Linked DNA regions of Lonchura striata. The protein of the gene in region 2 interacts with the protein of the main gene of each other region in a biochemical or structural test. Links are inferred from orthologs where the notes say so. Each region holds a gene or a part of one and is shown on either strand. Other genes may lie near its edges. The genes, in order: NPPC, NPR2 and NPPA.

Region 1 (3,747 bases), on a different chromosome or scaffold from region 2:
CCAAGAAGAGAATTTTCCCTGGACAGGGGGCCGGAGATGGTGCTCAGCTCCATCAGCAAAAAGCCAGCAGAGCTCCAGAGCTGCCCAGTGCCAGCCCCAGCAGCAGCAGAGACACAAATCCTGCTCTGCCAGCCAGGAAAGGGGAAGGCTGAGAGCAAGGGGCCTCCTCAAAGGCCCTGTGAACTCCTGGGGTTAATCCCAGGATCACACCTTTCTCCTGTAACCTCTAGCTCTGGGAGCAGGTCAGAGGGAGGCCAGGCTGCACAGCCCTGACATGGGTCAGCCAGTGAGGTCCTGTCCCCACAAGGGACCCTGTGACACTAACTATACCCTGCATCCCCAGGGTGCTTGAAAAGCCCCATCTCCAGGGCCAGGAACACCATCAAGATCCCCCAGAAGCAGAGAGAGCAGGTCAGTCCCGGAGCCAAGAGACCCACTGAGGTGCCCTCAAGAAGCACCATTGTACCCTCCATCTCTTTGTGTCCCCCATATTCCTGTCACAGAAGGCAGTGGCCCTGCTCCTGCCAAGTAGAGACCTGGGAGGCACAGTCTGATCTAATCCTGGATGTGGGAAGAAAAAAAAAAAAAAAAAAAAAAAAAAAAGGTGCTTATTCCTGTTTTTTGGGATGAATCCCGCACCGGGACCACCCCCCCCCGCCCGGCCCGTGTTCTGCCGCGGGAGGTCAGCAGGGCAGTGCGGGGAGCAGAGGGGCGGTGGGGCAGCCGGCAAGGGGAGGGCAGACAGCTTGCAGGGGGGCCGGGGGCGTCTGGGGGAGGGCGGGGGCATCAAGCCAAATGCCCCCCGCTTTCCCTTTCGGGTCTCCAGCTCCCGGAGCTGGTTGTCTTGTGTCATTTGTTACTGCCAGGGGAGAGGGGATACCACCACCCCCCCCCTTTAAATTCCTGCTATTGTGGAGTGCAGACCGGGTTGGACCTGGGTATTTAGATGACATCACCGAGCAGGTTGGGTTATAAAATGAATGAAGCAGAAAGCAGCCCAAGTTCACTAGCTCGGCACTTCGCAGGCGGCAGGAGGGACCTCGGGGCTCCGCTCTGAACTTTGACTCCCGTCGGTCCCGTCCTCTCCCCGGGGCTGCCCTCGGCTCCCCGCTGCCCCCCCCGACCCCCCTGCCGCTCGGCCCCGCAGGATGCAGATCTCACCCTTGCTGGCTGGTGGACTTTTACTCGCGCTGCTCTCCCTCAGGCTGGAGGCGAAGCCGGCGTCTCAGCTCCCACAGAAGGTACGGCTGGAGCTTTCTCCGGCTCTTCCTCCTCTCCCGGTCCCGCTCAGAGTCCTAACGGCACAGGGGGAAACGTGGGGTGCCTGTGGGGTGCCAGAGTCAGTGCAAAGAGGGGTTCTTCTCTCCGCATGGGCTGTTTGACTGCAAGGGGGACTCCCTGCTTCTCCAGGCTGTCCCGAACGTCCGGGGACGTCGCCCCATACCAGAGGCTGAGTGGGACGCGGTGTGCCCCGCAGCCCGCGGGATCGGGGCAGGGGAGGCGGCAGTGTGCCCCCGGAGTCACTCTGGAGACCCCTCTGTGCCGGGCACGGGGGAGGGAGCAGAGCCGGAGCGGGGCAGGCAGCAGGTGCACGGTGGGACAGGGTGCGAGAGCAGAGCCCGCCGGGCAGTCCTGACCAAACAGGCCGGGCAGGGGCACAGAGGTGGGTGTCCCTTCCCCGCGTGTCCCATGAGGAAGGGGCGCCCCAAATGAGAGTGTCCCAGGGATTTGGTTTTCTCGAGATGCTGAGGACGAGGGATGTGCCCGAGGCACCCAGTACTACTGTACTGGGTGGTACTGCCCTGAGGTCTGGCACAGAGATGGAGACACGGTCTGACGAGTGCCCCAGGGCAGCAGTGGGATGGGAGTGGCAGTGTCCCTGTAAGGCACTGGGGTGCAGGCTGAAGAAAAAGTGTTGATACAGGGGGATGTTGGGAAAATGAATGAGGATTAACATTTCCATGGCTTGGTGGGCAGCAGCTCTGAGCAGGGAGAGAGATGGAAGGCCTGGGAGATGGGGGAGCAGTGTGGAGGAGGTGTGTCCCTCTTATTGTAGGTTAGAATTGGAGGATTGGGAGGACACAGAGAGCATTAACTAGGGGAGGGAGCAGCAGGGAGGAGGAACCCTGATCTCCCCACCACTGCTGGGGACAGTCTGCAGTGGTGCACAGGATCTGTGGGGCAGGACCCCTCCCCATAATCTGAAGAGGTCTGTAAACTGGTGTAAACTGATGAGGGATGCAATGACCGAGGGGGTCTGAAATGAAAGGACCTGCCGGCTTTCAGGTCCCTTCAGATAATGGGTTGGGGGAGGACGGGATGGAATGGGACGACAGGATAGTGACAGAAGCGCAGCTGAGGTGTGCAGCACCACCAGCCCTTTGGAGGGGTGGTGTGGATATGCAATGACCGGGACAGGAAGACACCGCTACGGTGTGGGTCAGGGGGATGCTCTGACCCCAGGGAAGGGAGCACAGATTTAGGGAGGGGAGAAAATGCTCTGGCCACAGCCAGAGCGGGGTGATGGACTGCACTGCCGGGCACAGACCCAATCGCGAGTTTGCATCGCAGGGGGGATACACCGACCCCTCTGCGCGTCCCTTACAGGGGGTCCCCAACTCTCATGGGGATCGCTGGGGACGGCAGCTCTGACCCTCTCCCCCCCACAGGCCTCCCGCGGGTCAGCGGCGGCAGCGGCGGCGGCGGCGGCGGCAGCGGGTCCGCCCGAGGCGGCGGAGCGGGAGAAGGAGCGGGAGAAGGAGCGGGAGAAGGAGCGGGAGAAGGAGCGGGAGAAGGAGCGGAGCGGCGGCGGCGGCTCGGGCCCGCGGGAGGCGCGGGAGGCGCGGGCCGAAGCGCGGTCGCGGGCGGGCTGGGCGCGGCTGCTGCAGGACCCGCCGGGCCGCCGCCACAAGGGCCTCCACAAGAAGGGCCTGGGCAAGGGCTGCTTCGGGCTCAAGCTGGATCGCATCGGCGCCATGAGCGGCCTCGGATGCTGAGGGACCCCTGGCGGTGAGTGCGCGGCCGGGCCGGGCCGGGGCCGGGATGGGCCGGGGGCCGCGCTCCGGTACCGCGGGGCGTGCGGAAGATGCGCTGCCCTGCGAACGCGAGATGCCAGCGCACGGGACTGCAGGTGTTCGTCCCGCTGAGCCTCGCAACCTCTGGCTTTGCTGGCAGGTAAAGAGGAGGACCCCAAAGCTGGCCTTATTACATTCCCGTCCGGAATCCACCGGCCCTCTCTCTGCCTTACCCTGCAGAAGGGTCAGAGACCTCAGCTGCTTCTGCAGCAGTTCAATCTGGATTCCCCCTAATTTGAGCTAGATCCCTGGGCTCCGGGGAGGATGCAGGAGGAGCTCTGGTGCAGCCACAGGTTTCTAGTTGCCCTCTCTGCTTGAAACACTTAGGTGAGCTATGGATAGGTGTTAGGAGGGCAGGGTACCCCCTGTGTGCCTGCAGTTGGAGAGTTTAGTGAGGCTCCTGTCTCAGCCATGCTCCAGTGCTTTTAAGGACAAACAACACATAAGTTCCTCAGGTGTCTTCTAGGTGTGGTGACAGCCATGAGTAGCACTTTCCTAACTGCAGTTTTGTATCTGAGAAAGTTATGGGAAGCTGGGAGAAGTTCCTCCCACAGTGCTTCACAGCCACTGTGCAGCAACCAATGCGTGAAGGAGTGGCTTCCCCAGAGTGATGGGTTGGGAAAAACATGGCAGTGCCTCCCCTGCCAGGTCTCCCTGCGGGTGCTGGGGACAG
Region 2 (3,747 bases):
TCACTGGCCTCAGTCCTGATGGGAACTCAGTCCAGCACCCCAGAGCACCTCCCTGCTGCAGCCTGGTCCTGCCCAGCCTTGGACACAAGTCCTGCTGGCCCATCTGGCTCCATTTATCTGGGCTAGATGTCCTTCCTAATGACACAGCATCTCAGAATCCATTAAGAAGCATTGCAGAGTGGCTGACTCCAGGATTGATACACCCTGCTCATCAATAATGAAAGAGCATCAGGCTACCCTTGCTCTCCAGCTGCCTCAGTAAGCCCTCCATTTCCTCCCGCTCCCAATATAGCTGCTCTCCTGGGGCACTCGCATGGCACCAAATTGATTTATCCCTCCATCAGCAGGGTGGGGCTATCACAGCCCCATCCTGGGTGTGCAGCAGGGACAAGGCACAGCCTTGGGGCGCCCAGGTGCCACTCTGGGGTGTCTGTCTGAGCACAGTACAACCACATAGGTATGTTGGCATCATGCTTCTCTAGGTATGTAACCACAGCTGACGCTGTTCTCCAGAGAGCTGCATCCTCACTATCACCTTCAGCCTCCAAGGACATGCCTGGGTCACGCTGATCCTGCTAATACAGAGGCTGCCCCTCACAGCACGTGTCCCACCAAGCTGGGGGTCTGCCCCAGCTTTTGTTAGCAAAGGTTGACTGGACTGGGGGCCTGGGAGGGAGACACTGTGCCTCCTCCTCCTGCTGCATCCTAGCCCCTCCACTGATACAGGTTTTGGCCTGGGGAGGGGCTCAGATTCTGTCTTGTCCCCTGTGAACGCATCTCCTGTGCAGGTCCTGCTGCTCCTCTAGCCCCACTGTGACAAATCTTCTCAATCCTCATGGCACCCCACACAGACCCCATTTTGCCCACCTCTCCCTGTGCCCCACATAAGTCCCACTGTGCCCTCAGAACATCCTCATGCCCCAGACGGGTCCCACTGTGCCTCCAGCCCCTCCTTGTGCTCCACAGGGGTCCCACTCCTCCTCTGGCCCCTTGCAATGCCCTACCACAGGTGTCACTCTGCTCACTCCCTACTGCATCCCACATGAGTCCCACCAGATCCTTGTTCCCTCGCCGTGCCTCACAAGGGCGCCATTTTGCTCTCGACCCCTCACAAGTCCCACTGTGTCCTCAGACTGTCATGGTGCCCCACAAAGGTGCCACTGTCTCCTTGGATTGTTGCTGCACCCCACATGATCACACTCAGTTCCCATCTCCTTGCTGCACCCTACATGTATCTCACTGCCCTCTCTGACACTTGCTGTGCCCTGTGTGGATCTCCATTGTCCCCAATCCCTTGGTGTGCCTCAAACAGGTCCCACTGCCACCCTGGTCCCTTTTTGTGCCACACATGCATCCCACCGTATTCCCAATCCTTTGCTGCGTCCTGCAGCGGTCCCGCTGTATCCCCATCCCCTCTTTGTGCCCCAGATGTGTCCTGCTGTTCCCTTAACCCCTTCCTGTACCCTACATACATGTCGTCCACGGTATCCCAGTCCCCTTGCTGCACCCCATCCTTCCCCCTGCTGTGCCTCAGACGGGTCCAATGCCCCCCACCGTCCCCCACACAGATCCCATCGCACCCTCAGCCCCTCGCTGTGCCCCGCGGAGGATTTTGCCTCCCCCCCTCGAAGCCCTACGCGGATCTCCCGAGGGGAGCCCCCTCCGCTCTCCCTTCCTCTTCCCACTCCCACACCGCCACCCCTGCTCCCCGGGCGCTCAGCCCGATCCCGCCCGTGGTCACGGTGTCCCCCCCGCACCCCACGCCGCGCCACCCCACGCACCGCGTCCGTTGGCTTTGATGAAGTGGACGGCAGTGTCGGGGCCGCCCTCCTCGGGGGAGTAGATGTGGACGGTGACAGTGAGGTTGTTGCCATCCTGCAGCTCCTGGTAGACACCCTCGACGGTGAAGTAGTAGGGTCGGTCGTCGGTCTTGCGGTCCACGTAGAGGAGCACGGCGCGGGCGCTCCAGTTGAAGTGCGCGTGGAGGTGGGAGACGAAGGCGCCCAGTTTGGGTGCCGAGGGCCCGGTGCGCACCGTCGTGCTGTAGTGCTCCCGTTTGCGGCTGAAACCCGCGGCCACCGCTCCGCCGGTGATGAGGGGCAGCCGCCAGTGAGAAGCGAAGCGCCCCACCGACGCGGCGGGGTACACGCAGCCCGGCCCGAACAGCACGTCGGGGTCGTGGTAGAGCTTCAGGTCCACGGCGTTGAGCGGTGCCACGTACTCGGAGCAGGCGCCCTCCAGCTCCGAGCTCATGAACTCGACGCGCACCGAGAAGGGCCGCGGCAGCAGCGGCGGTTCGCCCCGCTCCAGCGCCTCCAGCGCCAAGCTGAGCGCCGGACCCACGCGCGGCCAAGCCCACGCGTAGCTCACGTTGCGCTCCGGCAGCACTACCGCCACCGTCAAGTTGGCGGGCGCCCCGTTGGGGGTCGCCGCCCGCCGCCCCGCGCCCGTCGGGACCGGCAGCAGCAGCAGCGCCAGCAGCGGCAGCGGCAGCGGCGGAGCCATGGGCCGCGCTGGCTCCTCCGCCCCGGCCGCCGCCCGCCGCTCCGGCGCCCCCGCCGCGCCCCCGCCGCGCCCCCGCCCCGCCGACCGCCGCCGACCGCCCTCCCCCGGGGGGCGGCGCCGCCGGTCCCCGCCCGGCCGGACGGGCACCGGGATGGGCGGCACCGCGACGGGGCGGGGGGCGGTGTCCCCGGAGAAGGGGGGGGCTAGGGGTGGGGCTAGCGGGGAGCGGGGCGCTGGTTGGGGTGGTGGGGGGATGGTGGGGTGTTCGGCGTATCTCGCTTCCAGACTGGTGAAGTGTTCCCCAGCGGGGAAGTAGAGACCGCGGTCCGCAGGTCCGGCGGCCACTAGTAGGCAGGGACTGAGGGAGGGGGTGCCCGTGTTTTAGGGGGTCCGGGAGGGGAGGTAGGGAGGGGCATCCGCGTTCGGGGTGTCCCCAGTGGGTGGAGGACCAAGGGACGTGTACTTTGGTTCTGGTGAGGTGCAGTGAGGGGAATCGGAGAAGAGGGCATCGGTTTGGGGCAGGGGACTGGGGTGTCCGGCTTCTGAGTGGAGGGGTTGGGGCCGGGCTCGGAGGCCACATCGGGGGATAAAGGGAGGGAGGTCCCCAGAGCCTGTGGCTTCCAGTGGGCAGGGATTGAAGAGTGTGTACGTGGGATCTAGGGTCCGTGAGGGGAATCGGGGAGGGAGCATTAGAGTTTGGAGCGTCCCCATCGGGTGGGGGGTTCAGAACAGAGAACAGATTCTCTGTTCGCGGAGCTGCAGTGAAGGAGTGAGCATCCAGGTTCTGAGGTACCCCAATGACTAGGGACTGGGGAGGGGATGTCTCTTGCTGGGGGTCCCTAGGGTTTGGGGAAGTCAGTGGGGTGTGGGGGATGTGCATGATGGGGCAAAGGGGTAGCCTGGGGAGGGCTGTGAGGATGTGAAGGGATACACAGCTGTAGGGTACAGCCAGCTGGAGGGGGAGGGAATATCCTGGGTGTGAGTGTCCTCACAAGGCATTTTTGGGAGGTCTTAAGTTCTCGGATAAAGTAGGAATCAGGCTCTGAGGAGGGGTTTCCCGGGATCTGTCTGCCTCCCTTGTGGGGGCCACCAGTGCTTAGGCTGTGGGTATCTCCCGTGGTGGAAGGATAGGAGGTTGGAGATGTCCTCGGGGATTTGGGATGCAGGGAGGCACCTGGGGATTTGGACCCTGAGAACTGGGATGCCCTGGGGAGCCCGACGTCCCCGAGACCCAATGTGTTT
Region 3 (3,747 bases), on a different chromosome or scaffold from region 2:
TTAGAAAGCATCTGGCTTTCATCTTGGGAGGAAGGGGGTACTGTAAAGCATTCTTCAGAGCAGGTTCTAGGGAGGTTGATCCTAATTTCTCCGGGAACCTGCAAACCAAACATGAAATAAATGTTACTAAAATCTGGTTTTGTGTCACAAAATCTCTGGTACGTGTCACAATTGAAAAACCAATACTAGCTTAAATACTAGGCTCAAATTAATTCCATTCTGAAACTGTGTCTTCTTAAAAACTTAAATAAGAAGCTGCTCCTTCCCTGTCCCTTGGCACGGACACGGTCTGTGCTATGCGGTGAAATGGCTTAGACAGGACTCACCGTTGCAGCCCATCCCACTCAGGGAGCCGATCCGATCAATCCTCCTGCCAAAACAGCCAGAATCTCTCATCATCCTGGGCATCTGCAGCCCCCTCAGTCTCTTGAGGAAGGGGTCCCTGTAGGACAGAGGGGTGTTGGGTGCAAGCCTGGGTTCAGCCTTCTGGTTGTCACTGTCATCGGCGAGTTCCGACGGGATCTCCTCCTGGGTTTTGGGTTCTTGCAGGTCAGGATTGGACTCCAGGGCTTCCATCATTGCAAACTTATCCTCCAGTCTTTCCAGCAGAGCCTATAAGAGAAGGATTAAATAATGAAATTCCTTGTTTTGTGGTCATTTGCTAACTCTTCCAGTCATTCTGTTCCGTTTTCATCGATGGTCCCATAGCCCACCCTAGGGAGACTGACAGGTTGGATCCCAGCCTTCCTGGTGGTCGTTGAGTTCTGTCCTCTGCATTATATCCCTATTCACAGTAATTCCATCTATGGGACGACATAGCTTCACCTTGTGAACTAAATGAAGCTTCTTGCCATCATGTGTATCTTACTGGTAAATTTAGAAGACATCTTGGCAGAGAAGAAAATGCAAGATATGAGTTTCACCGGGTCCACTCAGCCCACTGGTGGTACAGTCTGAGAGAACCTCTAGCCACATAGCCCACTCCCACATTCTCTGAAGTTGCTGCTTTGTCACCCCTGGCTATTTCAATCACATCACTTGGAGAAGCTCTAGGTGTTTTCAGTATTTTCTGCCCCTGGGATTACAGGATTGCTACTCCTAAAAGTAACTGAAAATACGTGTATGGTAAATTCATGCCTGCTGTATGATTGCTTCCTGGGTACCATTCTTGGTAATTTGTAAAGCTTTGTGTAACTGGGGTCAGATAACCTCCTCAAGGGCACCTCATCCAATTAGAGGAATTTAATTGCCCAACTCTAGAATATGAATATAGAGGAATGAGCCTTGTGGCTTGCCTGATAGTGAGTGCATTTGGAAGCCACTCTTCCTAGCTGCTGGAAACAGCCCAGAGGCAGCTTTAGCTTCAATTGTCCTTATAAGCTCAGGGAGTTTGTTCTTAGGCCTGAGAACAGCTTTGAGAAGCTGGTTACTGGTACCAACCAGCCCAAGGAAAGGTTTGAGTTTCAGATCCCATCAGAGTCTCAAGCTTGTACTGTGCTGTAACAATGGATTTTCTCTATTATTTTTTAAAATGCTTAGCGGTAATTTTATAGCTCCGAAAGCTTTTCTAGATGAGCCACACTAAATGATTGTGTTATTCCTCTAGTAATATTTATAAAAGTTTGTCTTTGGGTGCTCCACTTTACCTCCTCATCTTTCATCCATACACAACCAGATCTCTCAAATTCACAAAGCTAGAGCCATATGGAGCAGGGGTATACATATATCAGGACCCCACCTCAGAGTTTTCTATTTGTTCCTATGGAGCTACTCTGATGATTTTTTCCTCCCCTGGAACTTAGTTCCCAAGAAGATTTATCTTTAAAAGAAAAAGAATCAAAACACCAAAGCAGACATCCTACAACATCACAATTTGGTTCCCACAACTGCCCAGGAGCTCGGGTGAACCCAGCATGGGAGGATATTGCCCTGCAGAGCTTCTCTGAACCCCTTTGAAAAGCTGAGGCTTTGTGCCCCAGCATGTGATGGCTGATGCATTATTGCCATGCAACCATGCAAAAGGAAGGCAAAGCACCACCTCACACTCTGCTAAGCACCCCAAAAGTTTAACCTTGAAAAATGAGATTCCTCACCTCCATGCTGGCCAGTTCTTTGGCAGGGCTGAGGCTGTAGATGGGGTTGGCTCTGCTGGGCTGGAGCTGGATGAGCAGCAGCAAAAGGAAGCCATAGAAAAATGAGCCTTTAGTGTCCATGGCGCTGACTTTGTTGGGAATAGGGAAGTTCAAGCTGTTTCTTCTGAGATGTCCCTTCAAGTCTCTTTCTTCCTTGTCCTGTTGTGTCTCTTCTGAAGCTCATCTTTTATACTCTTTGGGTGATCCCTGCTTCCTAGGTTATCAGTGGGTTTATCTTGGGCACATTCCAGTCCCACTGGAGGCATGCAGCTCTGTCAAGGGAAGATTCCCTTTATTAGCTGTCATTAGGCAGCAGCTGCTGTTGCTGAGGAATGTATGTCACAAGTCAGTGATTTCATGTCACTCCCCCTCCTCTTGATACCAGGCGCTCTGATTACATAGTCCAGTTGGAAATTCTTAGCAATTCTCTTTCAAGAGACCCCTATGGTCAGATTTACAGAGATGGGAAACAATCCCAGAACTGCTCTCAACTTTGCTCAATTTGAAGATTTCCACAAGGAAATGGCCTTTTACAGGGGAAACAACGAGCTTTCAGATGAGTATTTGGTGAAGAGTCAAGAATGAAGATAAATCATCTTTCAGGACACCTAAACTATTGTGCACACTTCCCTTCTATATATGGAATATGTGCAGCTACCGCATACCAGAGAGTGTGCCGAAAATCCCAGATTTGGGCCACTTTTCCCATTGCTACTGAGGTGATATCACCACTGAGATTTTGTATTTGTGTGTTACCAACAAGAGCAGCACCTCGATCTGCACCTCAGTGCTGTGCCTGTGGGGAGAGCCTCCAGCCTCCGTGACAGCCGGCTCCGGCACCGCTGAAAAACACTAGTGTTTATAAAAATTCAATTTCTGGGACTGAAAATGGGATTTCTGTAAGCATTGATGGTAAGGCTTGACCCTGCATAAAGAAAATTTAAAGAACAGGCAGCCAGTTTCAGCAATAATCTTATTTTACCATCATACAAGAAAGAAACTTGTTCAATGAGAACTTAAATAGATAGCTGGTATTATTCAGAATCTATCCCAAAGAAAGAATGGATGGATTTGTATATATGTGTGTTTTGTGAGGAGTTAAAATAAAATCTGAAATATATTAAAAACTAAAAATATTTCTTTAAGTGCTGAATGTCTTAAAATTAGCTAGAAACTTCCTATTCTAGATGAGAAATTATGAAAGTACAGAAATACTTCTGATTTCTCTTCCGTTTTTTGTCTTTGTACATATAGTATAACTAAAAATCAATCTTTTTACAGGAATGCAAGAGAGTTCTAAATCACGAAGCAATGGCTTTTTTTTTTTTTTTCATTTTCCTAATGTTTCTTGTTATTTTAAATTGAAACAAAAACAAATGTAGGGGTAAGTTGAATGTCAGTCTAGTAATAATTTGTTGGCTTTTCATATGAACATAGATCTTGAAAGAATCTTCTGAGTACACTTTCAAATTAATAATAAAATGGTAAAGTATTTCCCATGTCCTAAATGTCTTAACATGGGTGTTTATGTACAAACATGTGCACATACTGTTCACATGATCAGCTACCAAAATTATACTAGAAAGGACATTCTCAAGGTTGTGAAGTCATGCTC

Evidence for each region.
Region 1: the proteins of NPR2 (region 2) and NPPC form a complex in vitro, tested with the Homo sapiens proteins (3 studies listed by BioGRID). The link is inferred for Lonchura striata from reciprocal best matches to the Homo sapiens genes NPR2 and NPPC.
Region 3: the proteins of NPR2 (region 2) and NPPA form a complex in vitro, tested with the Homo sapiens proteins (3 studies listed by BioGRID). The link is inferred for Lonchura striata from reciprocal best matches to the Homo sapiens genes NPR2 and NPPA.

Annotation. Positions count from the first base shown.
Region 1 is NC_134612.1:18,242,244-18,245,990, reverse strand, and holds the start of NPPC (C-type natriuretic peptide), read left to right. Parts: upstream 1-1,119; 5' UTR 1,120-1,148; coding exon 1,149-1,241; exon of another isoform or gene 1,242-1,340; intron 1,341-2,669; coding exon 2,670-2,996; 3' UTR 2,997-3,009; intron 3,010-3,747.
Region 2 is NC_134642.1:39,675,806-39,679,552, reverse strand, and holds the start of NPR2 (atrial natriuretic peptide receptor 2), read right to left. Parts: upstream 2,506-3,747; coding exon 1,782-2,505; intron 1-1,781. UniProt on the Homo sapiens protein: Receptor for the C-type natriuretic peptide NPPC/CNP hormone. Has guanylate cyclase activity upon binding of its ligand. May play a role in the regulation of skeletal growth.
Region 3 is NC_134626.1:5,503,317-5,507,063, reverse strand, and holds NPPA (natriuretic peptides A), read right to left. Parts: upstream 2,214-3,747; coding exon 2,094-2,213; intron 613-2,093; coding exon 295-612; downstream 1-294.